2 linked regions of the Astyanax mexicanus genome follow. The protein of the gene in region 2 interacts with the protein of the main gene of each other region in a biochemical or structural test. Links are inferred from orthologs where the notes say so. Each region holds a gene or a part of one and is shown on either strand. Other genes may lie near its edges. The genes, in order: tyrosine-protein kinase ZAP-70 and lcp2a.

Region 1 (16,939 bases), on a different chromosome or scaffold from region 2:
ACATCTTTCCCGCGGGCCATCTATAGCCAACCCCTGCTCTAGATTATATGATGTGTATATCTCTAAACTATAGGAAGTTACTGGTACACGTCTCATCAGCAATATGGAGCATTTGGTTTCAAAATGCATTAAATAAAAATGATGATTTAGCCTTTATACATTATTAGAAAAGAAGTTTGTTGTAAAAGTAGTAATAACACTGTAATTCATAATTAAACTCTGTATTTTCTCCGTGTACATATTTGAATCATGCGGAAATGTATCACTATTTTTTTTAGAGGTTTTAATGGAAAATCTGAGAGAAAGTGAAAAGTTTGTTGGGGGAGGCCATAGCGCTGTTTTGGCTGGAAAATATGCACAACAATACGACAAGCAGAGGGAAAGCGTATGTGTACCAGTAACTTTTTTATAGTGCAGTAAAGTTCAAGTATTGTATACTGTCAAAGCAGTGGAAGAACCTTGCATCTCCAAAATGTCAAAAAGCGTATTAACTTTTAGTCATTTTGGAGCATTTCTATTCTATTTCTATTGTATCATGAATTTTGACACAATATTTAGAACAAATGCTAGATTCACATACAAGTGAAAAATACAAAAATGGATTTATAAGATTTTTGCATGATAACAATATTATATCATACAGTTATATATACTACAGTTCTAATAGATTTTGGAGCATTGTTGTGAGGATTTGACCTTGGCTAGCGCTGCTGCTATCCGTGCTAAACTATTGGAAATCTATGCTTATTGTAAATAAACGGAAGCGCTTTTCTCGCCCAAATAAGGAGATAAATCTGTGTAGATTAAGATTAATCCAGCGCTTGTTTGACTTTGAACTGCTGAATTAGAAGGGAAACATGGCGACACCTTTGTTCCTTACTAGTATCACTTAAAATGTGCTTTATAATCCGGTGCGCCTTGTGTATGAAAAAAGACCGCAAAAAATATACGTTTATTGATAGTGTGCATTATATTACAATGCACCTCATAGTCTTTTTATTTATAAATATATTTTTATTTTCTTCCAATTTAGCTAGGCCAATTGTTCCACCAATGATCTCCTTATCATAGTGGCAGTGCTTTAGACCACTGGACCACTCGAAGCCCAAATAATTGTATTTATCATATTCTTTGTCCTGTTAATAATAATAAATTCAGTTTCAAACAAAGGTTTTGGCCAGAAATTTTAGTTTGGCTCATCACTACTGAATTCTTTATGTAAAGTTAAATAAACATGTTGTCTTTACCAAAAAAAAAGTAAAAAAAAAAGTAAAAATTAATATGAAAAATAAACCTAAAGACTTGACTGATATAAGTTTAGTCAACAGATATATATTATTATTGTTATTATTATTTATTTATTTTTTTAATTCTAGCATGTCACACATAAACAATTTGTTTATTCAATAATCACTGTACTATTTTGCGTATTTACGACAATAGGGAGTCAATGCTGTAAACCTGGAGATAAATAATGTTTACTAAAACATTATGTTATGTCAGTTTAACTGCACATTAATTGTACTTTTCTTTGATGGCCAGATAAACAAATTTTTTATTTGTTTGTTTATTAGATGGAGAACAAAGCCAACAAAGCCTACAAAGATGAAATTGCTCAGAAAATGAGGCTTGTTCTTACAGCCTACAACACAGAAGCCACTCAGTTTATCATAATATATGATCTACAACTTTACCTGAAGTAGCTTAGGGGGAATCACTACACACTGATGGTGAGTGTCAGAAACTGGTGGACACACCCAGTATGCAAAGAGATTGTCCCTGAATAGAATAGAAAGAAAGATAATGTTTGACCAAACTCAAAATAGTTGGGTAAAATTTGGAAATGCAATTTTATTTTAAATAGATTGAATTTATTTGAGGTCAACAGCATATATTATGGGTTAACAGTGTATGCCTCCCAATACTTTTTTGTACATTTACTATTTATCTACACTTAGCTTCGCAAAATGCTGCATGCGATCATCCGTACGGGTCAGTGCGTTCATTCTCTGTATACGCAAAAAACACCCTCCGTTTAATCTGTGGGCCTAAAACTGCTTTCTGGAGTTTCCACTAAGGAAAAACACACAGGTTGCCGGTTTGCGTTCCGGACGTGTGTAAAGGAGCCGCAGACGTTTGGGTGCAAAGCGCGCTAATGAGGACACCCCCACACTGTGCTAACGCTAGGGCTAACGCTCAGGTTACACTGTGAAAACAAGCAGCCAAACCACACAATCAGCTATCAAAGCCTTACACAGGCGAGGCAATCAGAGACACTCAGCAGACTAAAAATAAGCAGAACACACCAGATCTCACTTTCAGACTGTACCACTCTCTATGTACAGGAGACTCTGAAGGGATTTTAGCCTTTTTTTTTTAAATAAAATTTAGTTCCAGAATTCACCATCTGTGCTCAGTTTGGGGATCACTATCACTCAAATCAGTCAGTTTCAGTGTGATCTGTCAATAAGACGTTTTTTTTTTATATATTTGTTATTTAAAACCAAACTTTTTTGAATTATGTTTTTTAATGCAGTGCTGTCTAAAAGATTACAGATTGGTGATTACAACCACCACCATGTTTAACAGATTAGGTGCTAAGCTTTTAATCTTATTTCTTTTAGATTTCTACAGAAACACTGAAAGTAGGTCTCCTGGAATTATTGGAAGCTCAAATTTTTTGACCTTGAAACAAAATATTTAATAGTGGTTTGCTTTAAATACATTAACAGGGTCCTAAAAATGTCTTAAATTAAAAGCTGGGTTATTAAGGTCTTAAATTGTCTTAAATTTACTGTAAATTTGCTGTAGGTATTACATTTTCAGACGGTCTGTTTAATACTGGTGGGAAAGCACATATTAACATTAGTGGCAAGTTACCTGCATTACCGGCGAGAGAACTAAGGTTAGCGGCGAGCTAGCTAATGTTACCGGAGAGAGAACTAAGGTTAGTGAGCTAGATAATGTAGGGTGACCAAACGTCCGTATTTCCCAGGACATGTCCGTATTTCACGTCCTGTCCTGGGCTTCCCAGGTTTTTTGCAAAAAGTGAGAAAATGTCCTGGTTTTTAAACCCCCCCCCGGTCAACACTCACAGTCAGAGCGCAAAGACTTTTCCACAGAACTAAAACTAATAACTTAAAACTTGTATTTTTGGTTTTCTGTTTAATGAGATCTGATTGAGATCTGGATTACTCTTCATTAGGCAGTCATTTGGTGACATTTTATTTTTTATTATTAATTTATTAGTACATTTATTATTAAAAGTTACAAGTAAAAGTAATATAAGGGGAACAATTAAAGCCATTAAGAACAAAATCTTAGGCCGAACCACAGAGTCCTATAGTGCACTACTACTGATTTATTTTTTTGAACGATAAGAAGCCGGAATAAAAAAACATGCTATTTTTAAAAAGTAAGAAGTCGAAAGTTTAGATAATTGTGTGTAAATGTATGGAGATAAAAAAATAAATAAATAAAATAATTACTCCAGTAAAGTATAGATAACCTGAATTTCTACTTTAGTAAGATAATAAAGTATTTGTACTTCATTACTTGTCACCTGTGTTTAAGGTAAAAGAGTAAAATATGAAATATATTACAATTTTTTTTAGGTGTTATCTTTAGGAGCCTACCACACTACAAAGGACCGATAATCTACATTTGAGGTACAGCCCAAAATTAGAAATGTTGGCACAGTATGAAAAATGCATATAAAAAAACGTAGTGTTTATTTATTCTTTTGCATATTTTTATGTTTTATCTGTTTTTAACTTGCTTTACTGTATTTCATGAAAGCAATCTATGTCAATAGGCCATTAGCGGTGCTGACCCCTGTCCTAAAGACAGCTATTCACGTTCTGACTGTTCATGTTCATGTTTGCAAAACAGTTTTGCTTGTTTTTGGACTTTACTGTTAGTACTGTGGGCAGTTGGAGTTGGGTCAGGTCTGGACTCCTGCCCGTTCCTTAGGGTCCACTGGTTCAGTCTGTGGTCGCTCAATATATTATTTCAGCGTTGTCGTGGCTCCAGACTAACTTTTTTACAGCTGTCCCAAACTGAAAAGTATCTGTCCTATTTTTTATTTATTTGTTTTTACATTACTGTTGAATATTTGTGTATTTCTCTATGACTGCCATAATGTTGTCAGTTGTTTGGACTTGATGCACTGTAAGTGTATTATTCTGTTAATAAGAGACCACTTACAAATTATGAGGTTCTTTAATTTTACCAAATTAAAACCTCTGGAATATAATCAAGAGGAAGATGGATGATCACAAGCCATCAAACCACCAAACTGAACTGCTTGAATTTTTGCACCAGGAGTAAAGCAGCATCAAGTTATCCAAAAGCAGTGTGTAAGACTGGTGGAGGAGAACATGATGCCAACATGCATTAAAACTGTGATTAAAAACCAAGATTTATCCAACAAATATTGATTTCTGAACTCTTAAAACTTTATTAATATGAACTTGTTTTCTTTGCATTATTTGAGGTCTGAAAGCTCTGCATCTTTTTTTTGTTATTTCTACCACTTCTCATTTTCTGCAAATAAATGCTTTAAATGACAATATTTTTATTTGGAATTTGGGAGAAATGTTGTGCGTAGTTTATAGAATAAAACAACAATGTTAATTTTACTCAAACATATACCTATAAAGAGCAAAATCAGATGAACTGATGATATGACGTCTCAAATAAATGAACAGATACGAGGCCAGAAATGTCCATTTTCCTGCAGCCTAATTAATCGCAACGTCATCAAGCTAACTTGACCCTGCCTGAGCTGAACATTCGTTATCTGTGATCTAGATTTTATTATTCTGTCTTTTTGCTCAATTTTAGCCATCATGTTTTAGCTATAGATAAAAAGCAACATGTCAGATCAGGCTGCAGACGTTTAACATCTGCTAACAAAGAGTCAAAGACAACATCAATCATCTGAACATCAGTTTTCGAGCTCTATAAATACAGTTTAATCTGCAGTTGTGATGTCGCAGCTGCTGTGTAGCGTAGAGTGGTGGAAAAGCTGATGTTTCATCTCTGCTTCAGCGTGCTCTCGCCTTTTATCAGCTGCTCCTTTTAGCTATAATGTTTTACAGCAACTTAAACACACATCTTTCTATTATAACTCAATGAAATCTTAAGAAAATGAACCAAATATAAATTTAAAAATGATTTTACAGTTGGATCTCAAGGCCAATCACGACACTGCAGTTACAGTGACTTCTGCACAAACCAAACACTTTAACTACTAACTATAGTTGGTTATTTTAAAAAGTTAATACTAAAAAAATAAACAGTAAGTTCATTTTAATACTTAACAGTTAAAAAAAGCAAAAAAAAAGATCAATAAATCCATAAAAACAGTCCGAGCTAAAATGCTAACTGCCTAAAAGAAACATAGATGTCTATTAACTTAAGAAGAGCAATTTATATAAACAATAAAGTTAAAGAGTTATAAAGAACAGCCAAAGCTAAAATGCTAACTGCTTAAAAGAATCATAAATGTCTATGAACTTATAAATACTATAGAATTATAAAGAACAGTTCAAGTTCAAATAGTAACCCTAGCACACAAAAACAATGGTTACTTTTAACACTAAAGAAAAGCTAATGTTAAAACAAACCTGAACAGTTCAAAAATTAATAATTAAAGTTAAATTAATGAGCTAGTTAATAAGAACAGCTAAATGTATAACTGCAGGGTTAATAAGAACAGTTTAAGTTAAACAGTTCACTTTTTTTTAAGTTAAAAGTCTGAGCCATTATAAGAAAAGTAAAAGTTGAGTTTGACTAGTTTAAAAGAAAAATTAAAAAAAGTTAAAACTGAACAGGTAAAAGAGGATTTATTCTTATGGAGTGAAGAACAGCCAAAGCTAATACTAAATACTAAATACTTATAAGAATAATAATAATAATGTTCATTAACTTAGGAAGGGCAATATAAACATATAAACAATACAATTAAAGAGTTAAATAAAGAACAGTTCAATTTAAACTTAAACAAATATAATTAACAGTAGCACATAAAAAAGAACGGACCAGGCTAAGATGCTAATTGCTTGTAAGAAACATTAATGTTAAGTGACTTAGGAAGAGAAATTTATGATATAATAAAAGAGTTATAAAGAACAGTTCAACGTAAAATTGAACAAGTTAAAAGAACGTTTTTTGTTAAAACTAACAAAGACTAAAGAGAACATGAATGGTTAAAAAAACAAACGTAATACTAAACAGTTAGGGATATCAATTTAAAATACATAATACTAAAGAGGTATGATTGAACTTTTAAAGATTTTTTTTTAACAGTTTAAATTCTAACTGAACTTTTAGGAAGAAATATTAATCAACTGTTAATCAACTTAAGAGTTAAGAAGAGCATAAGAAGAGATAGAACTGGAGAGCTATAAGGAACAGTTAAACAGTTAAAATGAAATATATTAATGTTAAAACTAAAGTCAAGAAGTGCAATTTAGGGAAAAATAAAATAATGAATTAGTTAGAATTGATACAGATGTTGTTTTTTTGATAATCTGTTATGATACTCTCTTCAATTATTTTGAGATTAAATATATAATATATATTGAGTATTCTTGATTCTTGATCCAAAGCAAACGGTAAATTATAATTTTTTTTAGTGACAACTTATAGACACAATTTATATAATGCCACTTATTTTACTTTTGCTACAATAAACTATAGACTCCAACGTGCAACAAAAGCCGAGAGCAGCCTTAGTGCTGCACCACTCCACCACAGGATACACACAATACCAGAACCACCACACACACACACACACACACACACACAACACACACAGCAGACAAAGCAACGTCTGAAAACCCAACTGAACCTGAAAACGGCTCAGAGTTGGAGGCCTTCAGTACTGCAGAAATGAAGGAAAGGCCTCCAGCTCTGAGCCGCCAGAATCCAGCACGTGTTGAACAACGTTATCAGCATTCTTGGACCAGTGCGGCGGTTCTCGGCCAGAACTTGCATCTGTCCATCAGTCCAAAAAGCTCTCGTCTAATCTGCCTCGCCTCACTTCCAGGCGTCTAGAGCAAGCCTGACTTTTCCATCAGTGGGGAAACCGGTCCAGAGGCAGATCAAGAACCGGAACACAGCCGGGCAGATTAAAAAAAAAAAGCCCAAACAAGACAACAAGCCAAGCGTTAAGGAACTCACCAAGACCTGGAGCGTCCAGAGAGACGATAGAGAGAAATTTAAAGGGCGAGAGACACTTAATGAGACTGAGAAACACTTTTTTAATTAATTAAACTAGGGTACGAGGGCGCTACGCTAACAAACGTCTTCACTCTGCTGAGGTGATGAAGCTTTGTGATCTTGGTTGATCTATGACATCTGCACTTGCTGGGCTCTGAGCTACTGCTTCAGTGTGTGTGTGTGTGTGTGTGTGTGTTAGTGCATGTGTGTGTGTGAGTGTGTGTGTGTGTGTGTGCAGGTGAACTCTGTGGGCTGATCTTCTCTCTCTCTTTTCTCCCACAGCCTTGCATTCCCTTTTGCAAGCTTCTCCGTTTCTCAGAAACAGCAATTTACTCCATCTTCACCTAAATCAGCTCAGCACGACTCTGTTAGCGCAGGGCTCCGCAGCATGTTTACAGTATGAAGCACTGGTATATTTCTCTCCATCGCAACTTAGCACAAGGGGTCCTCAGAGGCCACGGCCCGCTCAAAAATGTGTCATAATACAACACCTTATAAAAGATCCTTAGCCGTCAGTTTTTATGGCCGCGCGAGATTACCGTAGACTACACAGAACAGCCATTAAAACCAAAACACGCCGCGGCACTTCAAAGACAAATATGGCCGCAGATTAACAAGACATGGCTGTAAATATGACAGACGGTGGAAGTGCAGGTTCCCAGGACCTCAAACCAAGAACAACAACAAGAACATGCACACTGTATAGAGCCTAGACTCTTAAAAAGAAAGGTGCTGCAAAGGCGAAACAGTTCTGAGCTCTGAGAGTAAGATTTCTACGTGAGTAGGCCATGGAACGAAACACTAAGAAACTAGTCGGTCATCAGGGCTAAACAGCCATATGGACCACAGAACGTTTAGTGAGAGGGCTTAAAGAAAGAGCAATCTTCCTATTGGCTAGCCAGCATGCTAATGCTGTGTTTGAGATGTTGTATGAGCCCGATCACCAGCATTCTAATGCTACGTTTGTGATGTTAGATGAACCTGGCCATGTTGGAGATGTTAGATGAGCCTGGTTGCTAGCATGCTAATGTTGCGTTTGCAATGTTGGGTGAGCCCAGTCTCCAGCATGCTAATGTTGCGTTTACAATGTTGGGTGAGCCCAGTCTCCAGCATGCTAATGTTGCGTTTGCAATGTTGGGTGAGCCCAGTCTCCAGCATGCCAATGTTGCGTTTGCAATGTTGGGTGAGCCCAGTCTCCAGCATGACAATGTTGCGGTGTGGCTAAGTGTGGTACTCACCACTTAGTAGCTGGTGCTTACACTTACATGCCACTTACTATCTAGTGCACACTGCTTAAAATGTGGTGCTCACCACTTAGAAGCTGGTGCTCACTACTTAATATGTGGTGCTAATTACTTTTTTACGTAAAAACAACATCATGTCTCTTCAGGGGCTCCATATGAGTGTCTGATTTTATTTTTATTTGTTTGTGTTTTCAGAGTATGTGGTGCTCACCGCTTACTATCTAGTGCTCACCCCTTTTTTATTTACTAAAATAAAAACACACATTGTCCCTTCAGGGGCTCTGTAGAAAAGTGTCAGATTTAAGGCTTTTTAACTCTTTTTAACTTTTTTAAGTGTGTGTTTTTTAAGTGTATTGTTGGCATAACTCAGTTGACTCAACTCTGTTTAAGGTCCTAACTGCACGTGAGGAGTTGTGAGCGTGTGCAGCTGTCCAATAAGAGGAGGAGGGGGCGGGGTTTTGAGGAAAACGGGTGGAAAATAAAACTAACCCCGCCCACCGCAGGCGGAGCTCCTCCCTGCGCTCAGCCCCGGCTCCTGCTGCTGTCTGCCCGGCTACACGGAGCAGCTTCTCCCCGACAGAGCAGAGAGGAGGACATATACAAAACATATAAAAACATATATAAACCATATATTAACCATATATAACCCAGAAACTGCAGAACACAAACCCTGCACTGATCCTCTCAGCATGAAGCCGTGAAGAAGGAGGACCTGGACCAGCTTCAGATACTCCAGAACCCTGCTGCCACTGCCTGAACTGAGGTATTAACTCATAACTCTTATAACTTCATTATAAAGCGTTATTAACTTACACACAGTGCTTGTATACATGCGTGTAGTGGTCTTTGTATTGCTGTGGGGAACTGGAGACTGTAGTTAGAGTGTGTTGACCACTGGTTGCAGCAGTTTCCAGTGTTGAGTCTGAATTAACTCTGTATAAAGTTAATTAAAACACTGGAACAGTTCATTCAACACTGTAACGTTAAAGGTTAATGGAACCATTTCCCATGCCTAAATTAAGCCACAATTCAGATATAAAATACTGTTAAATTGGGTTGTCACTGGTTGGGAACATTAGTCCAAGACTACAGTGTATTTCCAGGTAATTCTTGGAAAGACTGAAAGTGTTAACAGATCCATGCTGTAGATCCCTGCACTCTCTGAAAGTTGTATTCTGGAATGGAACCAGCTGCTTGAGTTTGGGACCACTGGTTAGAGCAGTTTTCAGTATCTACACAGCAGAATGACCAGTGTTGAGTCTGAATTAACTCTATATAGGGTTAATTAAACACTGTAACAGTTAATTCAACATTGTAAAAGTTAATGAAACCATTTCTCATGCCTAAATTAAGCCACAATTCAGATATAATATACTGTTAAATTGGGGTTGCCATTATTTGGGAACATTAGTCCAAGACTACTGTGTATTTTCAGGTAATTCTTGAAAAGACTGAAAGTGTTAACAGGTCCCTGCTGTAGATCCTTGTACTCTCTGAGAGTTTTACCACTGGTTAAAGCTGTTAACAATGTCTGTACTGCAGAATAACCAGTGTTTAACCTGAATAAACTCTATATAAAGTGTTAATTAGACACTACAACTGTTCATTCAGCACTGTAAAAGTTGGTTAAACCATTTCCCATTGTTTGTGCACTGTAGTCACTGTAGTCACATGCCTAAATTAAACCTCAATAATTTGTGCACATTAGTCTGAGATACAGTAGGTTTAATTCTTGCTTGGTTAAGTGGTTTTAAGAAGGTTTTTCATTCAAATTTAGACTTAAAAGACTTTTCAATGGGTTTGTCATTAGTTATGCACATTATTAAGATACATAGAGTTAATTAAACGCTGTAACAGTTCATTCAACATTGTAAAGGTTAACGAAACCATTCCCAAAGCATAAACTAGGCTTAATCCAGACAAAAAATACTGTTTAATGGGTTCCCCATTGGTTGGTCACATTAGTCCAAGAGAAAGAAGGGTTTTTAATTTAAATTTAGACTTTTCAATGGGTTTGCCATTAGTTGTGCACATTAGTTCGAGAATGGAAAGAGTAAAAATGTTAACACATCAATGCTGTAGATCCCTGCACTGTCTAAAAGTTGTATTTTGGAGTTAGAACCAAATCTATTGATGGAACCAACTGTTTGAGTTTGTGACCACTGCTTAGAACAGTTTACAGAATCTACACTGCAGAATGACCAGTGTTAAGTCTGAATTAACTGTATATAGAGTTAATTAAACACTACAACTGTTCATTCAACACCTTAAAAGTTAACTAAACCATTTCACACTAGTTACATTAGTGAATATTAGTCTGATGTACAGTAGGTTTAATTCTTGTTTGGTTAACTGGCTTTATAAGAAGAGTTTTCGTTAAAATTTTAGATTTTAAACACTTTTCAGTTGGTTTAACCATCATTTGTACACATTAGTTCAAGCCTATTCTCAGTTTTTGTCTGGCTAAATGGCTCTGCGGGAAGTTTTTAACAAGTTTTTAACGTTTTAACAATGGTGTTTTTTAAAGAGATGCATTCACCACAGTTTGAGTGGTCAAGTGGAAACTGTGAAAGTATTAATAGATCCCTGCAGATCACTGCTGATCACCAAAGCAGATCTGAATGTGAATGAGAAGTACAGGGCTGTAGTAATATAGAGCGGCTAATAGAACGTTTGAGAGCTATTTGTCTCTTTATATAACCCATTATATGGCTGCATTAGAGAGCTAATTGGGTTTGAGACCACCAGTGAGATAAAAAATGACCAGTGTTAAATCTGAATTAACTTTGTAATGGCTACGTAATCACTATTAACAGTTTATTTAGCACAATAATGGTTAATCAAAGTTTGGTTTTGGATCCCCAGATACAGATTTACTATATGTCTAATTGTTTGTGGACACTACTTCTAATCAATGCATTCAGCTACTTTAAGTGGCACTGATTACTGCCAATAGAATAGGACTCTCTGGAGCTGATAATCAATTGATCTATTGGCTCCAAGCCTAATACCAGATATGGGCTTTAGGAGTACAAAGCCAACTTTGCATTGAGTTTTGGAGCATTGGGAGTGTTTTCTCTGGAATGGTGTTTTGGATGGTGCTCCATTCTTTAATACCCTTGATTTCAGAAGAAATAATGAATGGTCTCTCTTATCTCTTTTTTTCTCTCCCTTTCTCTATATCTTTTTCTCTCTCTTTCTCTTTCTCTTTCTCTATATCTTGGTCTGGTAGTCACATGGCTGGATATGTCTGATCAGTCAGACTGAACGGTTTCATTGAAGCTCAGTTAAAGAGATAAAAAAAAAATCCGATGAATTTTAGTGTGAAGGGAGTGCTGCTGCCCATGTACGATCACGATCACTCCTCACACACTTCACTCCTCACACACTCCACTCTGCCGTGTGCTGACTGATCGCTGGCTGAGTGAGTCCATTAGATGTTGCATCACCAGCCGTTTAGCTGAGCTTGCATCCGCACCCGCTGACTCTCACTATCTGAGACTCTGCATTCTCTCACAGGGGTCTGGTTTATATGGGGCAACTGGTGTCTGGTCACGGCTACTGTAGTTCACCTCATCTGCTCCTGGCTTTGCTTTCACATAGACATCTAGTTAACAGACATCTAGTTACATCATGAACATAACTAGAGGCCTCCACTTGCCAAAATGACAAAGACACATCATGTGGATGGAGTTCGCTGTTCTTTAAAACTGTCCATCATGTAGATGCTGTTGAGTGCTGCACTGCTAATGGGCAGGTATTAGGCCCAATCCCATTTCCCCCCTTGGCCCTACCACTTACCCTTACCCCTTCTTTTTGAGTATAACAGAGACACAAGGGGAAGAGGTGAAATCCTCATATACTTCTTTGCTTCCCTGGTGCATAGAACCATCCTGGCACCACCCTTTGTCCGTCAACCCCCACCACAGCCCCACGCACAATTTCATGAATTTTGCACAGCAGGATTAGCCAGCAGACATCTTCTGATAGAGGGATCTGTAGGATTAGTCAGCAGATAAGGGAGATGGAAGTACTCTTGAATAATACGTTTTGTGCTTCTACCTCAGTTGAACCAGCATAAACCAGACTATTCATGTTTTCCAATTAGCACAAGCTAACACTAATGTGTGGTAAATGCTCAGCAAATACATGGTGTGTCCAGCCACAGCTTATTTGCATAAAAGTGCATTCTGAAAGATAATGGTGAGCTGGTGGGATTTCGTTATGTGAGAGTGATTTTGCGTAAAGAACTTCATGCACATGTTTTGTTTAGCCCATAGACCACTTCTAAATTATGTAAAAGATTTAGAATATGTACCGTTTAACACACTTAAACAGGAAAACTAACTACAGGTGAAACAATACCCTTAATCTAACAAATTGCACCAACAGAGTAATTGAACTAGTGTTTTTTTTGCAATTGAACCAAAGCTAAAAAGTATAAACACACTCTTTTAGATCTTCTCACTGAGGTACGTGAGGTTGCGGAGGCCAGTGATTTCTGGCTCTTCTCCATCAAATGCCTTTTTCCCATTGCTGGCACATTACTGGCCAGATATTCTGTCCAAATAGGGATATGAAGGCAGATATGCATGGAAAAGCCCAGAAGTGTCCAGATCTGTCTGGTTTCTTGTGTTTGTACTGTTTGATTGTACAGCACAGATTTTGTAGTCCTAACATGAACCCTGTCTGCCTGAGACAGCCTCAGGACGGTGGAGACGTCCAAGACTTTTAGAATATGTTGTGGAAACCAACCCAAATACTTCTAGGACTCAAAATAGACACAATACCCCCAAACTATTAGACTGCAGTTTCTGTTAGAGCATCAAATCGTTGCTCTTTCTGTTCCAATGAACAAGTAATGAGACAAGTAATGTGGATGGACAAAAGTATTGGGACACCTGTGTATTCCTTGTTTCTTTAGAAATCTAGAGTATTAAAAAGATTGTATCTTTCTTTTGTTGGATAAACTATGCCTACTGTCCAGGCAGGACTGTCTACTAGATTTTGGAACCTTGCTCTGAGGATTTGATTGCATTAGTGAGGTCACCACCTTGCCTGGCATTAGCATTATGCCAATAGGTGCATGTTTAGGTTTAATAGAGAGTCCATTAGACTATTAGTACTTTTACTTTTTGAGATGCTTGATCAATGAGGCCCAGGACTTTAGAGAGCAGATCATTGAATGATGATGAGAACAACCCAGTGACACATCTTAAAAAACAAGATTTTATTTGGGACTGTTTTGCTGCATGTATCCCTGCAGCATTAATGGGTTTTTAAAACTATATATTAAAAAAAAACTTTCTCATATCTCTAATGAAACAGTTTGAAAAGTTTTGCTCCTTTAAAGAGATGTCTTTGTTAACGAGATGCTTCAGCATGAAGCACATTTTTGTAATGCTTAAAGCGACAGTCTGAGAGTTTTTGGTGAAAGTGTGGGTAAATGATTCTGATCGTTTTAGTGAAGAAAAGACAGAAAAATGTGGTTTTGCAGGAATTTTAAATGTTTAATTTTCAATTAAAAACTGTAAAAAATCTTCAGGACTGCTGCTTTAAAGAACATGACGGTTCTTATCCCTTGTGTGGTGTTCGGGTCTGTGGGACTCGTTTTCATTTTTCATCAAACTCATTGGCATTGGCTCATTTTTTGTGAAAAACATATATCAAAACACATTTTCGATAAACACACACTGTAAACCCCCCCCCCCCCCCCCCCTACACATTTATATTACATACAGTATGTTTGGCCAAGAGCTAATAAACATTGCTTCATTGGCAAATTTGAAACTAATCTAATTTTCTACTCATATCTTGAGTTTAATTCATTTTTTTTTACATTTTATTAAAAAACTAATAAAAAAAAGAGAAGCACTTTTTGAAAGAAATGTGACATAAGAAAGGTAAAGGGCAAACATTAACCATGTAAGCTGTTTATATTGCTAGCAATTTAGGTGAAGCGAGCATGTGTAAAGCATTTTAATGTAAAATTGCTTAATTTTGCTGAATTAAATACAAGTAACAAAGTAAACGAGTAACAAAAATATGAACACCACACAAATTGGTTAAATTGGTGAAAAAAAATGTATAAGTTCTATACTGGGTTTGTATTAGGGGTGTGCCATATCGTATCATACTTAAAGTTATCAACAGATATTTTGACATGATAAAAAAAATATTTATAATATTTAATATATTACTTACATTCTTGAAAGCAAGTCCCTTTTTCTATTTTGTTACACTATTATTTTTTCTTTAATATCAGAGTCATGGTAAGTTACGAACATTTATATGTTTATTGAATGCACAAAAATGCATAAAATCAAGAATGTGGTCATCGCAAGAATACCCTAAAATATTGTGATATTATTTTAGGAGCATATCTCCCACCCACAGTTCTTATATTATGTGAAGGTTCTTTATACTTTCAACTTCAAACATGGTTCTTCTTCAACTGGTTCTTTGATGGTTCCGTGGTGGTACTATGATGGTTCTTTTATAGCATTGCTTGAAGAACCTTTTGTGGAACTGTTCTTTTTAAGAGTGTAGTGAAGAGAAAATGTGACTGAAGATTTTCAGAAAAAGAGAGAGAGAGAGAAAGAAGAGAGAGAGAGAGATTTGGGGAGAGGAAAGGAAAGCAAGAAAGAGAAATAGAGAGAGAGAGAGAGAATGAAAAGCAGGGTTTCTGCTCTCCAGAGACGTCCAGTACGTGCAGCAGGGTCTTATGGGTTTGATTAGTGAAGTCTGCTGGTGCCTGATACCCCTCGGCCTCCACACACACACACACACACACTCACACACCTTCTCCTGCTTCACATTATACACAAGAACACGACTAGACTACGGGTCTATTGGACCCTCAGTCAGATACAGTTACGCAGTAACACCACGCCAGCCATCCAGACCTCCAGAACCGTCCACACTTCCCAGATTCCTCTCATTCTTAAACCCGTCCTTAACTGGTTTGGTGGTTTGGCCCAAAACTCTAATCTACACAGTTTTCCCTCCCTTACCCACAATGCAGTCAATCGGCCAAGACGTGTTTGCTGTCCAAAGTTTGGTTCTGTAGTTTTGCACTGGAGCTCACATGTTTAAGCCATTACATCCAAATGTTTGTGGACGTCCATTCTAATGAATTCATTCGGCTTCTTAAATCCACAAACACAGCTTGTCAGTCTTGTCACTGTATTGCTTGCTAAGTATTGCCAAGAGACAAGAGCTCTAGTGAACTGATAAACATTGGCACCATGCCTAATGTCATGCATGGGCGAGAGGGTACTAAGTCTTAACATTGAGCTTTTGGGTTGAGTTGTTGACTTGCATGGTTGGATGCATGGTGGTGATCATCCAACATCTTGACCTCACTAATTTGTAACTTTTGTCTCTGAATGCAATCAAATCCTCACAGCAATGCTCTAGAATCTAATGTAAAGCCTTAACCTTGGATTGAACATGAACCGCTGGGCAACACTTTGTCTTCCCTCTTCTCGTCTTCAGCTGTATCCACCTGATTTTCAATGACGACAACTGGATTACAACTAGAGACTGACCAATCACTCTTTTTGGGGGCTGATTGCTATCCTCTTTTATATCGATCAACCAACTGGGTGAGGCTGGATGCCACAACTGAAAGTGCAGTGATGTTCCTGCATCATCTCTCAAGATGAAATGTACTTTATTTTTTATAATCAACCAAAATATCCAGCACAAAAAAATTTATTTTTATGAACACAAGTCCATCCTTTAGCTTTCCAACTGCTGCTGCTGAAGTGTATCGTTAGAGCTGTTACCTCTGCTGTGTTGCTGTGCTAATAACTACTCAATGTATGGGCTGAAAGAAGCACTCTGAAGAGGGGTATCCAGTTAGTGGGGTTCATAATCATTATTTAGCTCACCCTATGTGGCATGTTTGTCTTACGTAAAGGTGAATGGATGACTTTCTGAATAGCATGAGTAGTCTGTAGACAAGAGAGTGAACAAGTGACTTTAAAACCTCTTGTATTATAGCAGAGCCAGCAGCTGTGCTCCGAGCTCACAAAGGAGAGGACAGGGGGGTCCGATTAGAGGGGCTTTTGTTTGCAGAGAGCGAGATGAGAGAGTTCTTTAATGAAAACCACTGGAGATCTGACTGTGAGTCTAATAACCACACGATAAAACCAGTCTCTAAGAAGAAGTAATAGCAGGAAAAGCCTCTGGGGTTTGGAGAGAAGGAGAGAGCCGCGTAAAGCAGAGGAGAACAGATGAGAGGGAGAAAGGGATGAGAGGGAGGAATAGGAGGAGAAGGAGGAGATGATAGTAGAGTGGAAAACACTGAAGAAGTGAAACGAATAGGAGAAAGAGAGGAAAGGTATGGTTAAAGATGAGACGAATCGAGAAAATAACTAGAGAAGGAAAAGAGAAGAAGAGAAAAAAATTAGATTAATAGACAGTAGAGAGTAAAAAGAAAGGTAAGGACAATAAGAGAGTAG
Region 2 (16,783 bases):
AATAAAGGTGTTATGTTACAGTCTAAAACAATACCCCCTCCATAAGCCCATGTAAATACTGTACAATGTATTGTATTATTAAAAGGAAGTGCATTAGGACACAAGTTCCTTAAAAACAGTGTATAGTGAAGCATACTACCTTGAACTGGCATAAGGTTAGAGCCTCTTTCCAGAGTACTTGGCTTTTTACTGCGATCAGGAGCTGGAAATAAAAAAAGAATGAATGAAAAAATAATGGATGAATTAAAATAATTAGATAGGGCTTTCACAAATACTTAAATAAAGACATAATAATGAATATGCAATTTGGTAATTCTAAAAGAGAACTGTCTTAAACCAAGAACCAGATGACCAGACCTGATAATGAGCATTTGCTTGTGTTTTTAATTTAAATATTTTCTAAGTGAAAAATTAGCTACTAGTTTTGAAGTGGGGTTTTTAATATAGACCTCATCAGATACATAGTCAATCCATTAATACATGTAAAAACAACCTTTTCCTTACAAAATAGCACAAAGAGTGCAAATGTTTTATGTACACATACAACATTAGAAATGTACTATTTAAAAATAAGGCAATTTTCACACAGCAGCAATAAATAGCAATAAACGTTTTTTTTATGTTGTATTGTGGTACTCATTTAAATATTATTATTTTTAATATAATATTTTTAATATTATTATTTTTAATATCACCCAGCCCTCCCAGAAATGTACTCTACAAACCAGAAATGAGTGTTTTACTTACGTGGTGGTTTTTGAGGTCTCTGAGGTGAGTGATCTGTCCTCTTGAACCCACCAGGAATCTACAAGTATAAGAATTCATTCATTGTCTGGATACAAATTAAAGAAGTGAAAAAGGAAAGGAAGGGAAATGAAGTGGAGGCAATTCTGAGAACTGAGGAGGACTTACACTGGGGCGTCCTGTGGTTGGGAGTGGAGGACCGGGTCCGGGACGTGCAGGAGGAACTGGTGGCTGGCTTTTTACTGAAGTACCAGGTCGGTCTGCATACACAGCAAACAAAAAACACAGTACCAGTAAATAGAAGCAAAGGGACTGAGTTCTTCTGGATTCTCTAAAACGGAAGAAGTAAAATGTATTATAATGTATTATAAATGTATTATAAAATAGAGCAAAGCCACCTTCAAAGCCTTGATTAAAAAATACTTACTCAATATGCATACAAGCATTTATTGATGTGTAAAAACATCCTTTTGTGGATAAACTAAAAAGAACAAGCTGAAGAAGTATTTAGTGTGATTATTATTATTATTAATAATAGTGAATTATTAGATGCACAGTAAATAGACTGTAAAATAGATCTAAAAGTATTAAATACACCTATCATTTTTTTAATCCTGTTTCCATATTTAAAACACTATCATCCCCTTCATGCTGCACCATTACCTTAATTTAACAAAGTTGACTGTGCTTTACACACTGCACTTCATGTTCTGTATAACAATGGCCTTTACTGAGGTAAAATTACTCTAATGCACAACTTCAAGTTACTTATTGTTTCAACTCTTAAAGCTGCTCTTTACCAATGTACTCGCTGTTGCCAATGGGTTTTGATGGACGGATGTGGGGATGCTGCAGGTCATCAGAGGGTTCACTTGGGGGTGGCTCATAATCATTGTCGCTCTCCCCACCTGCTTCAGTTGCTGACTCATAATCTCCACTGCCTCCCCCTTCATCGTGCGAATCCGGGCTCTCGTAGTCATCACTTTCCTTTACAGCAACATCAACGCATGAAATGTAGAAAAACAAAAGCATGCTTTAAAACAACCAAACAAACAAACATGCAGATAAAAATTGTTCAAAAGAGAGATTTAGAAATGAAATTTACAAACTCTTCGGAATCCCAACCCTGTTCATCATGACCAACTTCCACTGTAAAGAGAAACAGAAAAAATAAGAATAAGAAAAATGAATTATGTGATGTGATTTTTAAACCTAACCCCCACTACGATATCAGATACGGACATCCTGCCTACTCATCAGAGCATAACTGCAGACATCTGCACATTCATCTACTGCTGTTGGATAATTCAGCGGGAAGCAAATTATCAGCCAAAAACTAAAAACTGTGATGCACACTTTTTCTCTTACCATAAAAGGCTACATGCCTGGAGTCTTAGATTTGCTCTGAAACTATGAGGCTAATAAATATAGAATGGTATATTCACCAGCTTAGGATGATTTGGTCTTCACACCTTTATCAATACACACTTGGCTGCAACATTAGCTACTTTATCTGGCTAGCTAACTTCCTTTTTTCAATTTTGTGTCAATTTGTGCATCAGAAACTTCACAAGCTTGTTTTATACGAAGTGTGTGATGATATAAGCAGGCAGTTTGCACAGTGCTAGTTGTTGCTAGTCACCCTTTTTGATCGAACCCTTACACTCTGACCTTGTTAATATGCTAATATGCTATCTTAGCTACGCAGGAGCGCCACATGTACATCCCGCTAGTTACACAAACACAAGGACGCACTAAACCAACTTTTGCATCCACAATAAACATAATACTAAATTTACTAAAAATTAACATTTCTGTATCAGTAAATGATCTGCTCTAACACCCTCACAGCATGAATGCCCAGCTCAGTGTACTCTACTCAGAAGTGTAGAAGCGCTGCACAGTTAAAATAGCAATCTATCAAGGTCAGAGCACACCTGGCTCTTAAAGTGAATGACAAGTGATAAGCTGATTGGCTTATTTCATGTTATGTACAAAACAAACCCATGACTAATTAGGAGAATTAGTACATGTTCTAAATCAGTCCGCGCCGTCATCGGCTCGCCTATAGATCATTCAGATAGGGCCCTAAATATTAATAAGAGCTATTTCTATTCTACACAAATGTCAATCCACTGTGCCTTTTCAAGTACTATTTGTTATCACAGGCTAAAGGTGTTATATGAAGAACAGTAACTGATTAAAATACACTTATCATCAGTACCTGTTTCTTGGAACTTTGGTGCAGGATTCCTATATAAAGTATAGAACAAAAGTCATAATTATTAACAAAAAGTTAAAAGTTGAAGTAAGGAAGCATGGATTACTTATGAACGAGTTTTAAAGTGTTTGCCTTTTGGGGAAAATACTTCTCTTCTCCTCTTTCTTGTTGATTTCTCGACAGATTTTGGAGATAATTCTACAAAAGTGAAAGAAAAGAAATACAAATGATACACAGGAAACATAATATTTGGTTACCACTATTAAACCCAGAATTACAGATTATTACCCTGTGAAATGAACTGAATTCTTTGACTTTTTACTTCATGTGTGTACTATCGGCTCACTATAAGAACGATATGTGCAGGTCTTGTGAGTTGGAACTGGTGGGCGCATGAGCTGAGGGCTCGGCAGGATGTGGTAACCAAAATAGATCGTTTTCCTCCATGTACCTTAAAACTGTTCTAAAGGTAAACATGTATACACTGTGATTTTTAATGACACTCTCTTCAAAATGACCACTGTTTTGTCTAGTCTCTGATACTTTATCTCTCAGAATCATTTTCAGTTCCTTAACATGCTGCACATTCAGCCATTTCATCTCCCTGAAATACTACTGAAGTAACACATGATTCTGCTGTGCAATGGTTCCTGCCACATCTGCATGTGTTGCACTATCTTTCTTCAGCAGTGCTTCCTCTTAATGTGAGTGCATGCACCGAAACACATAATAAGAGGGTTAACACTTCATACTGCAGCGTGGACCACCTACAATTACAAGGTCACAACATTTTGATGGAAAGCTTAGAAAGGAAATGCAACCCATGCAAAACAAACAAACGTAACTATAGATAAAAAAGGAAATTCAACAAAGTTTAACAACCGCACTAAAATCTCAAACTGAACTAAAAAGAAGCAGGATACTCACGGGGAGTAAAGATTAGGAAATTTCTGAAGGTCGTTTTCTGTCATGTTCTGTAAACACAAAGAAAGGAAAGATTTTTTATTATTTCAAGCATACAATACACTTGAAAGCAAATAAAATTCATAAAACATAAAAAAAAAACATTAGAACAAATAATTAAATAAGTATAAATAAGTATAAATAAGTAACTATTACAGAAATAGTTACTACAGAAACTGAAGACATATTATTTGTCTACTAATTATTATAAATAAAATATTAGGCTCCTAAATGTTGTTTTGCCACTGTAAGTCACGTTTATAACTTGTTTTAGATTATGTACTCTCCTTATCTATGTATCAATACACAAAAACAACACCCCTCTATTGTGTATTTAAATAATTTTGTGGATAAAAATCTGATTTAATGTTATAATATAGTGTTGCTAGCAAATACACTGTTACTGCCGACGTTAAGATCTCATATAAATATAAGTCTCTGATGTCTAATACTGTCACTTGTAAGCCAAAGCCATACAATTTTAATCCATTATACATTTTGCTAGTAACAACACATAAGAGAAAAAATAAGAGAGCACCTAAAAATTATGAGTTTCTTTGATTATTACAAGCCATCAAACCAAGCTGAACTGCCTGAATTTTTGCACCAGAAGTGACATAAAGTTATACAAAAGCAGTGTGTAAGACTGGTGGAGCAGAACATGTCAAGATGCATGCAAACTGTGATTAAAAACAGGCTTATTCAATTTCTGAATATGAAAAAATGTTCATATTTTTGAATATGAACTTGTTTTCTTTGGATTATTTAAGCTCTGCATCTTTTTTGTTATTTCACCCATTTCTCATTTTCTGCCAATATTTTATTTGGAATTTGGGAGAAATGCATAGTTTATAGAATAAAACAACAATGTTAATTTTACTCAAACGTACACCAATTAATAGCAAAATCAGAGACTTTTCAGAAGCTGAAGTGGTCTCTTATTTTTTCCAGAGCCATATATGCATATGTATTTGTGTGCGTTTGCGAGGGAGGGGGTATTTTAGTGTATTTGCACATATAAGCAGTATTCAGTATTGTTCATTTGTGTTTTCTAATATAAGTGGTGTTCAAGACATAATTATTACTGATACATAAATACATAGCTGATACCAAATACATAGCTGTATATATAATTCTAATCTTTTTAATAATATATATGTATTTCTCGCATCATCATTCAGATCAAGCTTTATATTAACATGTAAAAGACACCTCTAATAATGGCACTTCCTTAATCCATGACAACATGCAGCAGCCATAGAACAATGACTCATATCTGTGTGAAGGGGAATTTTGTCTATAGATAATGCTTCTTATATCAAGAAAAATATAAATATAACAAATATATATATATAAAAAAATATTTGACAGTTTTACGGCAGGTGATTGAATCCATTGTTAAATTTAGGTTTGTAAAGGTACGTAAACATGCACATGGCTTATTTTGAAAATATTAAATATATTAACATGTTTTTTTCATAACACCAACAGAAAAAAGTAATGGATACAATTAAAAAGGTCTTCAGAAAGTGAATGAGATACATACCAGAAATCTCTGTCCATTCATATTGCATTTCATAATTACTTTATCACAGCCTGTCAGCTCCCGCTGTAGATGAAAATGACAAAAACACATCACTCAGTAACGCAGAGGAAAAACATAGTTTAAACACATTGAAAAATATCACGCTTTCAGTACTCTGCAAAGAAAGTGTGACATAACATAAGCAGGCTTAATGAGGAAATGTTCAGTATGTGAATGTGTGAAATCTGCATGTGTAAAGCAACCATGTCTAGACCATGTCTTCTACCCTATGTGAACCAGTAGGCCTCGCTGCTGAATTAAGTTCTTCTCCTTTAAACTTAAAGGTGTTTAAAATTAAAATCAAACTCAACACCAATAAAAACAACAACCAAATATTAAAACTGTCAGTACTAAAGTTTTAAATTGGTCTTAAAGATAGAAAAAACATATTAAAACAGTAACAAACTAACTTACCCTCCTTAGAAAGTCAGCTAAATGAGCAGGATCCCAGTTCATGACCTCCATTTTGGAAGGAATATTGTTGAAACTCATGGTTCCAAGTTTGCCACTGTCTAAAATTAAATGAAAATAAAACCCTACAAAAATAAAATGAAAAAAAAAATCTTTTTTTTTTATCTCCAAGTACTCATCACGCCAGGCACGACTCCTGAGAAGCTGAAAGGATGTTTAGCTCTGACATGCCACGATGCAACCAAGAACAGCACACTGTCTGACTTTGGGGTGGAGAAAAACACCCACAAGCAAGGTTCTAGACGTAAATCCGGCACAAAAAGGTAAGTCTTCTTGACAGAACGCTCAGCATGAAAAAAGAAAAGAAAAAGAAGTCCAAAATGTTTGAAGCTGAGAAAATGTTCCTGTACGTTCACATAGGAAGCAATTTAAAGATAGTCTAAATTCATCTATGTTACATTTGTAAATATTTAAAAAGCGAACAACACCCAGGATTTGTCTGAGCTCACTGAGAAAAGAAAGAATGACAGCACTTCCCTGTAGGTTTCCTGTTGATCACCGCGGTAAATAGGGGAAGTACAGCCCCTTATGAGAAAAAGAAATGAACAGTTCACTGTTTAGTTTGCATACCCACACTATTTCATCTAGATGTCTATTTGTACAGTACAAATTTCAACTTAATAAAGGATGCAAGTATGTATACATCTTTCATTTTTATTATTTATTAAGTATTGCCCAGTACCAAGCAATTAACCACATGACCTACAGCAAGCTTACATATATTGACCTTCATGCACCAATTGAGTTGCTGAGCGCTACTTTAGCAGGGGTCTGATGCCACATATAGCCCACCCACGGCTATGAATCTTAGAGATTTGTGATAGAATTGAGTCTATTTTCTTTTCTATAAATGCTATAAATATCCTAATAAATAGAAATGCCCAAATATATGCCTTTTAATCATAAATCCTAAATAAACTGCCAGGCAACCCTTTACTGGAGTGAAACAACTTCATATGACCAGCCATTATAAAGCAATCAGCCATTGCTTGTGGTTGTGTGTAGGTGTGGGCAGAAAGTGGAAGCAAATGTAGTTCCCATCCAACAGATGTATTTGCACCATTTCACACAAATAAGACATGTTTTATAAAAAAGAAAACCATTCAAACCATTAAGTTGGCCTCTTCCTGTAGCCTACATTTATCTAGCTATGTTAGCTCTAATAATACATCATACATCACTGTCAGATATAATAAATGGGTTATATTCTGGCTAGGGGAGCTGACAAGCACCTCTCAATTACAACACTACAAACTGTGATGGCTAGCTAAACATATTACTTTAAAATAGATAAACTTATTAAGGTTCTTAAACATTTTCATGTTGTAAAACAGATTTTCATGCGATGCTAACTAAAGATGCTAATGAAAAATGTAGCTAGCCAGTCCATTAATTGTTTTTTTAATTTGTTTTGTAATAACTGGCTGGTTGTAGCACAGAAAAACTAGTGATAGCAAAAATAGTTTTTTAACTATTAATGTAAGAATTATTTATTATTAAAGTGTAAAAAGAGATAAGGTTTAAATGCTTTATTTGGTAGCTTAAACAGTAGGCTAGCTTAGCAATTAGCGGACGGTTTATTGCCATATCCTGCAAAACGTCCTTGTAATCATACCTTTATTTTTTTTCTGATTTGGTGCAGCATGCCTAAAATGTGGCTTTACTTTGTTATATTTAGAACAAGCCATTCTATTGAATTAAACATCTAAATATCAATTTTAAATAACTGCAGATAAATATAGACTCTGCTCTCATACATCACATTTCATTTGTTCTTAGCAAAATAGATTTTATTGTCCTGTTTTAATAATAATAATAATAATAACAACAGGGATACTTTTTTAAATGTGTCAAGTAAATACAACAAATATAAATACTTGCTTAGCTTACTTAAGTAGAAATGTTGGTTATCTATACTTTACTAGAGTATTTTTTTCACACCTATTTTATTGCACTGTAGGATCCTGTGGCATGGTCTAAGCTTTTATCCTTATTTCCCCCCCTTATTTTAGCATTTTGTTCCCTTACATTAACTTGTATACTTTTACACTTTAAAGCTTAAGTTGATACTTCAGCTTCTACAGAAGTATTTTTAAACCCCAATATCTATACTTCTACTTGAGTAATGAATGTCAGTACTTTTAAAGCCTTTGCTGCTTTTATTGGAGAAACTGTCTACTCTACTGGGAAGGCTTTCTACTAGATTTTAGAGCATTCAGCAACACAAACACTACAGAGGACAGGAGGCTTGGATGATCACCAAAACCTCCTCCACTAATCAATGTATGAATGGAGCATTATTATTACAGAGAACACAATTCCACCACTCAACAGGGCAATGCATGTGAGACTTTTATACTCCTTTCTGACATAAGGCATGATACAAATAGGTTAATGTGTACCGGCTCCACAGAGTACTATTGTATTGTCTATAGGCTACAGGGACTGGACAAGCTGTGTGCACGCATTTGCACCACAGTGTCAACAATGGGTGCAGCTGAATTCATTTTACTAGAAGCAGAGTTTAAACACCTTTTACAAGCTAAAATTAAAGCACTTTTTAAGAACTTTCAAGGCCCATTTTCAAGTTTTTCCTGCACCTTTCAGCTGTGGTAAATTAATGATGACGGTGATATCTCAACACTGTGATTCAGCGATAATCAATACATTGCAAAAGCAAATCTATTCTCCACACTATGCCACTGAGGAAAAAAATAGTTCTAGGTAAGTAAATAGCAAAAATTATGGATTTATTAATGGCAGTTTTACACAATGTAACTATCAATGTTTTTCACCGCATGTTACCCTTTTCATTTGATTGAGCAGTTACTGTAGTATATCAAATTCTGGGATGAGTTGAGACCATTTATACATACATATACTCAAAATTATTGATTTGCTTTTTGTCACACTGCAAGAGATGCAGTGTATTATGTTTACGTAAATGCAAACAGAATTGTTTGGTAATATCAGAAGGAGAAGAAATTAAAGCCTTTTTCCTTTTACGTTCTGCAATTTTTTCTTTAAGCAAACTTATTTAGTCAGATAATTATTTATTGTATAGTAAATGTAGTCAGAATTTCAAGCATTTTCAAGCACTTTCTCTAAAATTTCAACACTTTCCAGGCCTGGAAAACAGACTGTTAAAATCCAAGCATTTTCCAGGATTTCAAGCACCCGCACGAACCCTGTAGAAGGGGTGTCTACAAACATTTGGACACACTGTATTAGAGCATTCAAGTGTTGTTTTTTTTTTGAGCAGGTAGTTGGTGTCTATACAAAACCACAGCTATTATTAGCTCATTAAAAAGTAAGTAAGTCAGGTGGTAATCAAAGTAGGCCAAACCAAAAAGCACCCACACTTGGAAAGTCTGAGCTTTCATTTTTTTTTCCCCCAGGCCCCACGATTGCTAGTGGAAACTTATGACACTTGAAGTGTCTCACTATTTGGCTTTATTTATGTTTATTCCCAGCAATGCAATCTGAAATTTGCACGTCCCAAAAACTTTTAACTTTCTATGTCATTCGCTATAACAATTTCCACTTCCTGTGAACTCCAGTCGATGCTGAATGTATACTGGTATTGTAGGTGGGTGTACTTAAACTAGATCAGAAAGAAAAGGTCAACTGTCAGAGTCATACAGTTGTTTACAGTTACAGTTGCTTACAGTGTCTTTTATAGTTTCAAAAGAAATGCTGGGTTTAGATTCATGTGTTCAGATCAGGAATTTAACTTAAGGGCACTGAATGAATTGTATCTAAATAAGCACAGTCCTGTGGTTTACCAGTTGTCTTCAGAACCATATAGGTAAACAATAGCGCCATCACATGGTGATAAGAGTGTTATGATAAAAAAAAAATCATCATTAAGAAAGCATTACAGTGTTTTCATCTGATTTACTCTGAATTAACACATTACAAGTCCCCTAAAATGTTAATTTTTACTTTAAAGTTAAATTTTAAACATTTTATACAGATTTATTTAATGTGGGGTGAGGTTTTGCCATGTCCACAGTGCTGCCTGATTAAGTTGAATAACTCATTAAGATTTTTAATAATTTAGACATTTAAATAATGAAAACAGCTTTTTTTGTAAAAAGAAAATCAAGCATTTAAACATTTTCAACAATGCCCTGTCATCTTGGAACAACCACACCACTTTAAGAAAGTACGGTTGTACTGTTTCCGTTTTTAAGGGACTGAAGACTCCTGCTGCACGTTCAACAATTAATAATATGAGTTTTATTTTTTTATTAGCTTAATTAAACCATAACCTCTCCATCCTGTCATGATGGGGTGGAAAAATGCATGCAACTATATAATGAAAATAAAAAGTGATTAAGCTGGAAAAATATAATTTTTCATTAGTCATATAACTATGATAAATAGTCAAAACATTTATTAAAGTGTATTACTTATCAGTGTTGGCTTGTTACTGCAGGTAAAAATTCCAGCCTGTCACTGAATAAGTGATCAACAATAACTCCTTAACCACTCAGCCAAAGCTAATTTATATTAGGTAAATGTAATTTAATTAAATTTAATAGTTTTAGAGCCACAATGAAATGAACAGTTCTGAGAAAGATCATTAAGAGAGGTTTGTTTAGACATCTTAAGTTCTGGAATGAAACTGCAATGCTAAAATAGCTATAAAAATAGCAATAGCTAAAACAATTGAACTGTATGACCTGTTGAAACCTCTTAATGTGCTTAGTATCTTGATTAAATCCAGATAAGAATTTATCAAATTACACTTAAGTTTGGTAAACAAATGACAGAATATGCTCATTTGTTTGTTGCACTGCAATTATTACTGGTGTTTAGATTGTACTCAGAGGTGTTTTGGTTGTAGAATGTGTCTTGGCCTGACTGATGGCTCATTTCGGCTCTGACAAGCTTCTTTTTTCTTATTGGTATATTCTTGGCATAAAAAAAAAAATAACGTTAATATACTGCAGATCTTTAACAGTTAAACTATTTTCGTGGATGGACAGTCACTACTATTTATAAAAAGGCCCTGAAAATGTAAATGCTTGTGTGAAATGTTAATTAAATGAAACAAGGCTGTTTAAAATTTAATTAAAGCACATTTCTTTTAAAATAATATAATACAGTTTATTTGCAAGAACATGTTTGAGTTGGATAAAAAAAACAACAAAAAAAAACACAATACAGCCCTGACACAAAACTTGCCTTTATTCTATGCTTGGGTATTTCTGATGCAACTACACCCTCAATCATCTCTTGCAGATCTGAAAGACAAGTTTGTGTCAATGAAAACACTAATTTTTGTAACACCACATTCCTTTACCCTTCCTTATATTTCAAAATCTACAGAATAAATTGGACAAGTGAGAGGAATTTAAAAAAAATCATATTTACAACAAGCATCAAACTAACAACATTCAACTCAAACTGCTCCACCCGTATTTTAATTCCAAATATGAATCTGTAATAAAACAAGTAACAGGTGGAAAACATTTTGATTAATTGTTGTTTTCGTCTTTGCTCATGGAATTTGTGATAGTTGACATAAAAAAAACCCAATGTAGTCCAGTCAAGGAAGGGTTCTTCCAGTCTGTTGATAGTTGAATAGTTCTCCACTCTGTAAGAACTGTAAAGGCTTAAGCAAGGATATGTATAAGGTGGGAATCAGTGGCTCTTCTTGGAGGACCCAAACCCTGAGAATCCCATTACAGCAGCCATTTCATCATCCTCTTCAAAATTCAGGTCTTCCTCTGCTTTTCTCTTCTTTTCTTTTAGCTTCTCTTTTTTATATGCCTTTGCTTTTTCCTCCTGAATAAATAAATCAAAATATTAACCAAATGTACAAAATACATTTATTGTAGGCAAAGCAAAACATGTTTATAAATCAAATTCTGTACCTCTTCTCGTAATTCCTTCAATCTTTCCTCAAAATCATACTCCTTCTGTTTTTCCTCCATTTTTTTCTTATTTACTTCAAAGCGTTTTTTAACCTGATCCAATGAGGACCGTTCCACTCGCATCGACATTCCAAGGTTTCTCTGGTCTATATTAGTGAGACAAAGTGAGAAAAATGTTTTTATATAATATATACAATTTTTATTTTTACATTTTTCTGAAACAGCAAATCAAAGAAATAAAAAGAAACTCACGTTTCTTGCCATTGATATGATCCAAAAAGTTGATGGAATCTTTCACAACACAATCGCAAACATTGCAGTAGTATCTACATAAAAAAGTATGAAAACACCAATAAGACCAAATATTTCTGTTTAAAATATATTTGCTTCCAGAAAACTAAATTCTACAAAATGAACAAAAAATAAAGATATAATGGCAACATCAGCAGCAGCAGCATCTCCTGACAGTCCCTCACCATGTCATATATAATGTAGAATTATTGTTTAAATTGTCGATTTGGGACAGTTCTGTTTATGCAATATAGTTAAATGTTACCAAATTTACCTTATTCTTCCTAAGGAATAAAGGCCAGCACTTTCCATTTTTTCTCTCTTAGTAAAAATTGACTGATTCTGGATGTTTAATGCAAATTCTTTAAAAGTAGTCTTATTCACATTCAGTTGGAATCGCGGGAATTGCATTAGATACTCACCCGCCCATCTCAGCCTGAGGTGTAGTTTTAGTGATGACAATTGTCTTCCCCAGTTTAGACTCCAGATCAACCTTGTAGTCTCTGTGCCTGAGGAGCTCCCGCTTGACTGGTGGCATAGGTTTGCCTGTAAAAAAACGTTCATAGAGTTTTGTGATGCACAATAACAGAATCATAACAATACTGGCAAATAATTATTTATATAATTATAAATCTGTGCATCAGATTTAATACAATAAAACAAGAGCAAAATTCTTAATTTTGGTATGATATAATTACGATATTGATATGAACAGTATAAAAGCCACCAGCGTTGGTGTACATAATCATGCACTGAGAGACCTGGGTGACATGGCAAATTGTTATATCTGTATTGAAAGACAATCCTATGATATACAGTATTCATCATGTATTGACTCATGGGTAAAAAGCACCAGGAGTGGTAAATTCTTAAAAAATTCTACTCAAATACTCCTTAATACATAGAAAATTACTTTAGACCTACATTAATTATTATAATTGTTGCTGCACATAACATAATTTAAAGGATTTTTTACACTCTCTGTAATGAAATTTACAGTTAGGAAAGGCATATTTAAGTAGTGATGAATCTTCTACTGGCATATTTATCCCCCAGGACTCACAAGGCTGAATCTTTTTTTCCCCGAATCAATCGGTTAATTTCATTCAAACTCCCAAAAGACCCACTTTTGCCATCACTACTGCAAAGTAAACTAGACAGGTTCTAAGGTTAAACAGAGAGGATTTCAATTTAATTTTAATATTTTATTTAGAAACCTGTGGGCTAGCTAAAACACAGCATCTCTTTGGTTTTATAAGGTACATTATAAGATATGAGATAAACAAGGTGGCAAGTAGGGTTAGTGTCTACACATATGAAGTATGCGTAATTGGCATTCCAGAATAAAAACAGCAAGTCCAGTGAGAGAACAATGTAAGTAACTGTACAAGTAGTGCTGGGCGATATGGGAAAAATCATTATCACAATATGAATTTTTTTATATCACAATAACGATATATATTATGATATACTACATTTAAGTATGTTTTCAGTTATTCTTCGAAAAAACTTTATTTCAAAGTGACATTAAAACAAACTTTCACAAACGAGAATTCCTACCTTTTATTGCAGCAATATATATGTATCGAATGAAAACAGATGAGGTAGATGCAGTAGCTAATTCTTTAAAAAGAACAATGCGTCTCCATTGTTCAGCTCTCATGAGTTTAAAAACGTAAAGCATGTCGCAAACCGGTGTCTGTGCATTTCCGTCAAATAACGTAAAGCAGCGTTGTGTCACAAAACCACATTATGAAGCTTTTTTGTGAAGATTACTTTATCACTTATATAAACAGAGTTTATGCAAAGTGACCACGCTAATACATTTCATCGTAGCCTACTTTATATATTTGCATGAATAATTGATGAAATTACTGTAGAAACGATAGAGACGATAGAAGGTAGACACTTTTTTATCGTCCCCACTTTTGGTAAAGTGGCTAAGTGGAACAGCAAAGCGCAATGTGCAGACCTGTACAGACCAGTGAACATACTATCTGGTGCTTACCACTTAGTATCTAGTGCTCACCACACACCAAGTAACACAGCACAGCGCAATGTAGCAGTCTGTGAAGCCATGCACAGACCAGTGAACATACTTCCTAGTGCTCACCATTTTTTATGTAAAGAAAATATGGTATATATATATATATATATATATATATATATATATATATATATATATATATATATATATATATACCATGTCATATCAGGATTTCCAAACAATAGGCAGTGAAAGTGTGAATATAGTACAGTACAGTAGTGCACTATATAAACTATATGAATGTACTCACCATCTTTTTTCTCTCTTTCCTCCGTGAGACGCTTCTGTGCCAGCTGTTCATACTCATCTTTGTCCCACTTGCGCCTAAAATCGTTCTTAGACTACAAAAAAAAAAAGAGATTTGGAGATTATTCGCTAATTAGTTAGGGTAGCCACGGCTAGCTGGGTATCCATAAACAATAAAACACCGTGACAATAACCTGTTGTCTAACATGCCAGCTATATAACGCCTACAACATATATGGTTTAGATATTCAGTTATTGTCAGCAGCTCCTTTAACAGCATTACAGATCTATAACTGTTGTTGGATAAATCATTAAATTTTCACTGAACACTGACAAATGTTTAGTTAGCTTAGCTAGCTAGCTACCTAAGCTAATGGCCACAGGAGCGTGTTTTAGCACGGTAACGTTGTAGTTTATAGTTTATTCAGCCGGCTATGTTACAGTCTATCAATTACAGCATTTACTGAATACATTAAAACAGATATAACCTTGCAGACATTAATATAACTAATAAAAAAAAAAAAACAATATAACTCACCCCACTGCCTGACGCCATGTTGCTGACCAACGAGATCTTCTTCCTGTCTGGAGAAAAACAACAAGGCAAAATAAAAGCTCTGTGGGAACTGTGTGATTAAAGTGAAGGTGAGTTCTGTGTTAATTTGTCTCATTTATTTCAATCTACACAACTTCTCACACACGGTTTGCTGAAAAAGGTAAAATAAATAAATACAATAAAATAAATAAGAATACTATAAACAAGTAACAGGCAAACACCCACCCATTCAGAAAGAACATACAAATCAAATAAGTACAGATGTACAGGAGAATGAAAAACGTGGCTGCATGTTTCCAATTAGTATGCAAAAAGAACACAATATATACAACATAAAATAAAATGTAAAAAAAATGTTAGTTTTTTTCATAGGCATTGACATTTTTTGTGGACAATATACCATCCAAGAAATGATTGTGATAAAGGATAAAAGCAACACTTTTATAGCCTTGTAAGACTATGATTGCAATTAATAATAGTTTGGGAAATAAATTATTTTTTTCTTCACCTACTGCAGTCCACACTGTGTGTATGGAGCCTTAAATACAGTTCAATGCTATATATGTGAACAAACATACAAATAAACATGCCTATTTTCAATATTGTCATTTCAAAAAATTATATTCTTTAAATATGTCAGTAATTATCAAATACGATTTCCATTTAAGTTATGGATATGTGTTACTATTTTGTGCACCGTTTATCTATTTAAAATAAACAACATCCTTACAAAAAAATGCACCAATACAAATTCAGTTCAGGTTATTATAATGGGAATACAAGATACTACTAAACACTGCTACTTAAAGGAGCAGTTTCTTTTGACTTCACAATAGCATGATAAAACAATGTAAGTGGAATACATAATTGGATAAAATATTGTTTAGAAAAACAAAACGTGAATACAACAACATTTGTTTGTGATCAATTATTACAATTAGTACAGACGACTACTTGATGATATGTATAATATGTATAATCCTTCATGTGTATATTAAGTTAAACATTAACAGATATTAATTTTCAGAGCTTCTGCTGGCTATGCTGTCTTTAATACTGTTATGTTAGTAATATTAACCCAGATTGAGCCAGTGCGTTTTTCCAAGAAACATTGGCTTTTAACATATTACCTATTTAATGTGAACAATATTTAGTGTAATCAAATTTGGAATTTTGGTTTTCAAGTAAAATATGGTTAATTTATTATAATTAACTTTTTTAGTACAACTATATTGTGCCTCTATTTTGATGAAAAAAAAAAGTGTTTACTTTAATTTATTTTTCCTTTTGTGGGCTCTAGTCAATATTGTATATGATCCAAACACCGTGCTTGTGCCTGTATTTTTTTTTTTTTTTAACTTTACTTTAAAAGGGGTCAATTTGACCGGCTACGTAACACGTGGGTTAATTGTGTAGCCCCGCCCCTTATCCACCTGATGCTGATTTAAAGGTCTTTCAAACTATGCGGCATACTAGGTGGCAGAGTCAGCATGACAGCACGGATTGAAACTGCACTTCATAGCCCTTTGGAGTCAAGGTCCAGTAGACTTACTTACTTCTGTGTGTTGTTGCTGAGTGTAGAACACTTTGGGATTTAATCTTAATCTGGTTTCCTTTTGTTTAATTTAATTTTAGGGGCCTGTCTCTTCCCTTGTGGCCAAACATTCCAGAGTTACCTCATGATTTGAGGGTCAGACCACCTCTTGAGCCAGGCAGTCCAGAGCCATGGCTTCTCCCAGGTTGCAGCTCGGTGTATGACAGCCTGGTCAGGTAA

What was found.
Region 1: of the proteins of lcp2a (region 2) and tyrosine-protein kinase ZAP-70, one has a biochemical effect on the other in vitro, tested with the Homo sapiens proteins (2 studies listed by BioGRID). The link is inferred for Astyanax mexicanus from reciprocal best matches to the Homo sapiens genes LCP2 and ZAP70.

What each region holds. Positions count from the first base shown.
Region 1 is NC_064419.1:5,984,495-6,001,433, reverse strand, and holds the start of tyrosine-protein kinase ZAP-70, read right to left. Parts: upstream 7,385-16,939; 5' UTR 7,189-7,384; intron 1-7,188. UniProt on the Homo sapiens protein: Tyrosine kinase that plays an essential role in regulation of the adaptive immune response. Regulates motility, adhesion and cytokine expression of mature T-cells, as well as thymocyte development.
Region 2 is NC_064424.1:10,746,941-10,763,723, forward strand, and holds the start of lcp2a (lymphocyte cytosolic protein 2a), read right to left. Parts: upstream 6,500-16,783; 5' UTR 6,006-6,499; coding exon 5,928-6,005; intron 5,538-5,927; coding exon 5,475-5,537; intron 3,940-5,474; coding exon 3,893-3,939; intron 3,164-3,892; coding exon 3,098-3,163; intron 2,998-3,097; coding exon 2,969-2,997; intron 1,894-2,968; coding exon 1,850-1,893; intron 1,732-1,849; coding exon 1,545-1,731; intron 1,005-1,544; coding exon 913-1,004; intron 806-912; coding exon 748-805; intron 203-747; coding exon 140-202; intron 1-139. Other genes in the region: zmat2 (zinc finger matrin-type protein 2), read right to left, coding at 11,637-11,780, 11,870-12,015, 12,122-12,195, 12,583-12,706, 14,458-14,548, 14,992-15,009; slbp2 (stem-loop binding protein 2), read left to right, coding at 16,500-16,546, 16,645-16,779. UniProt on the Homo sapiens protein: Adapter protein primarily involved in signaling pathways within T-cells, as well as other immune cells such as platelets, mast cells, and natural killer (NK) cells.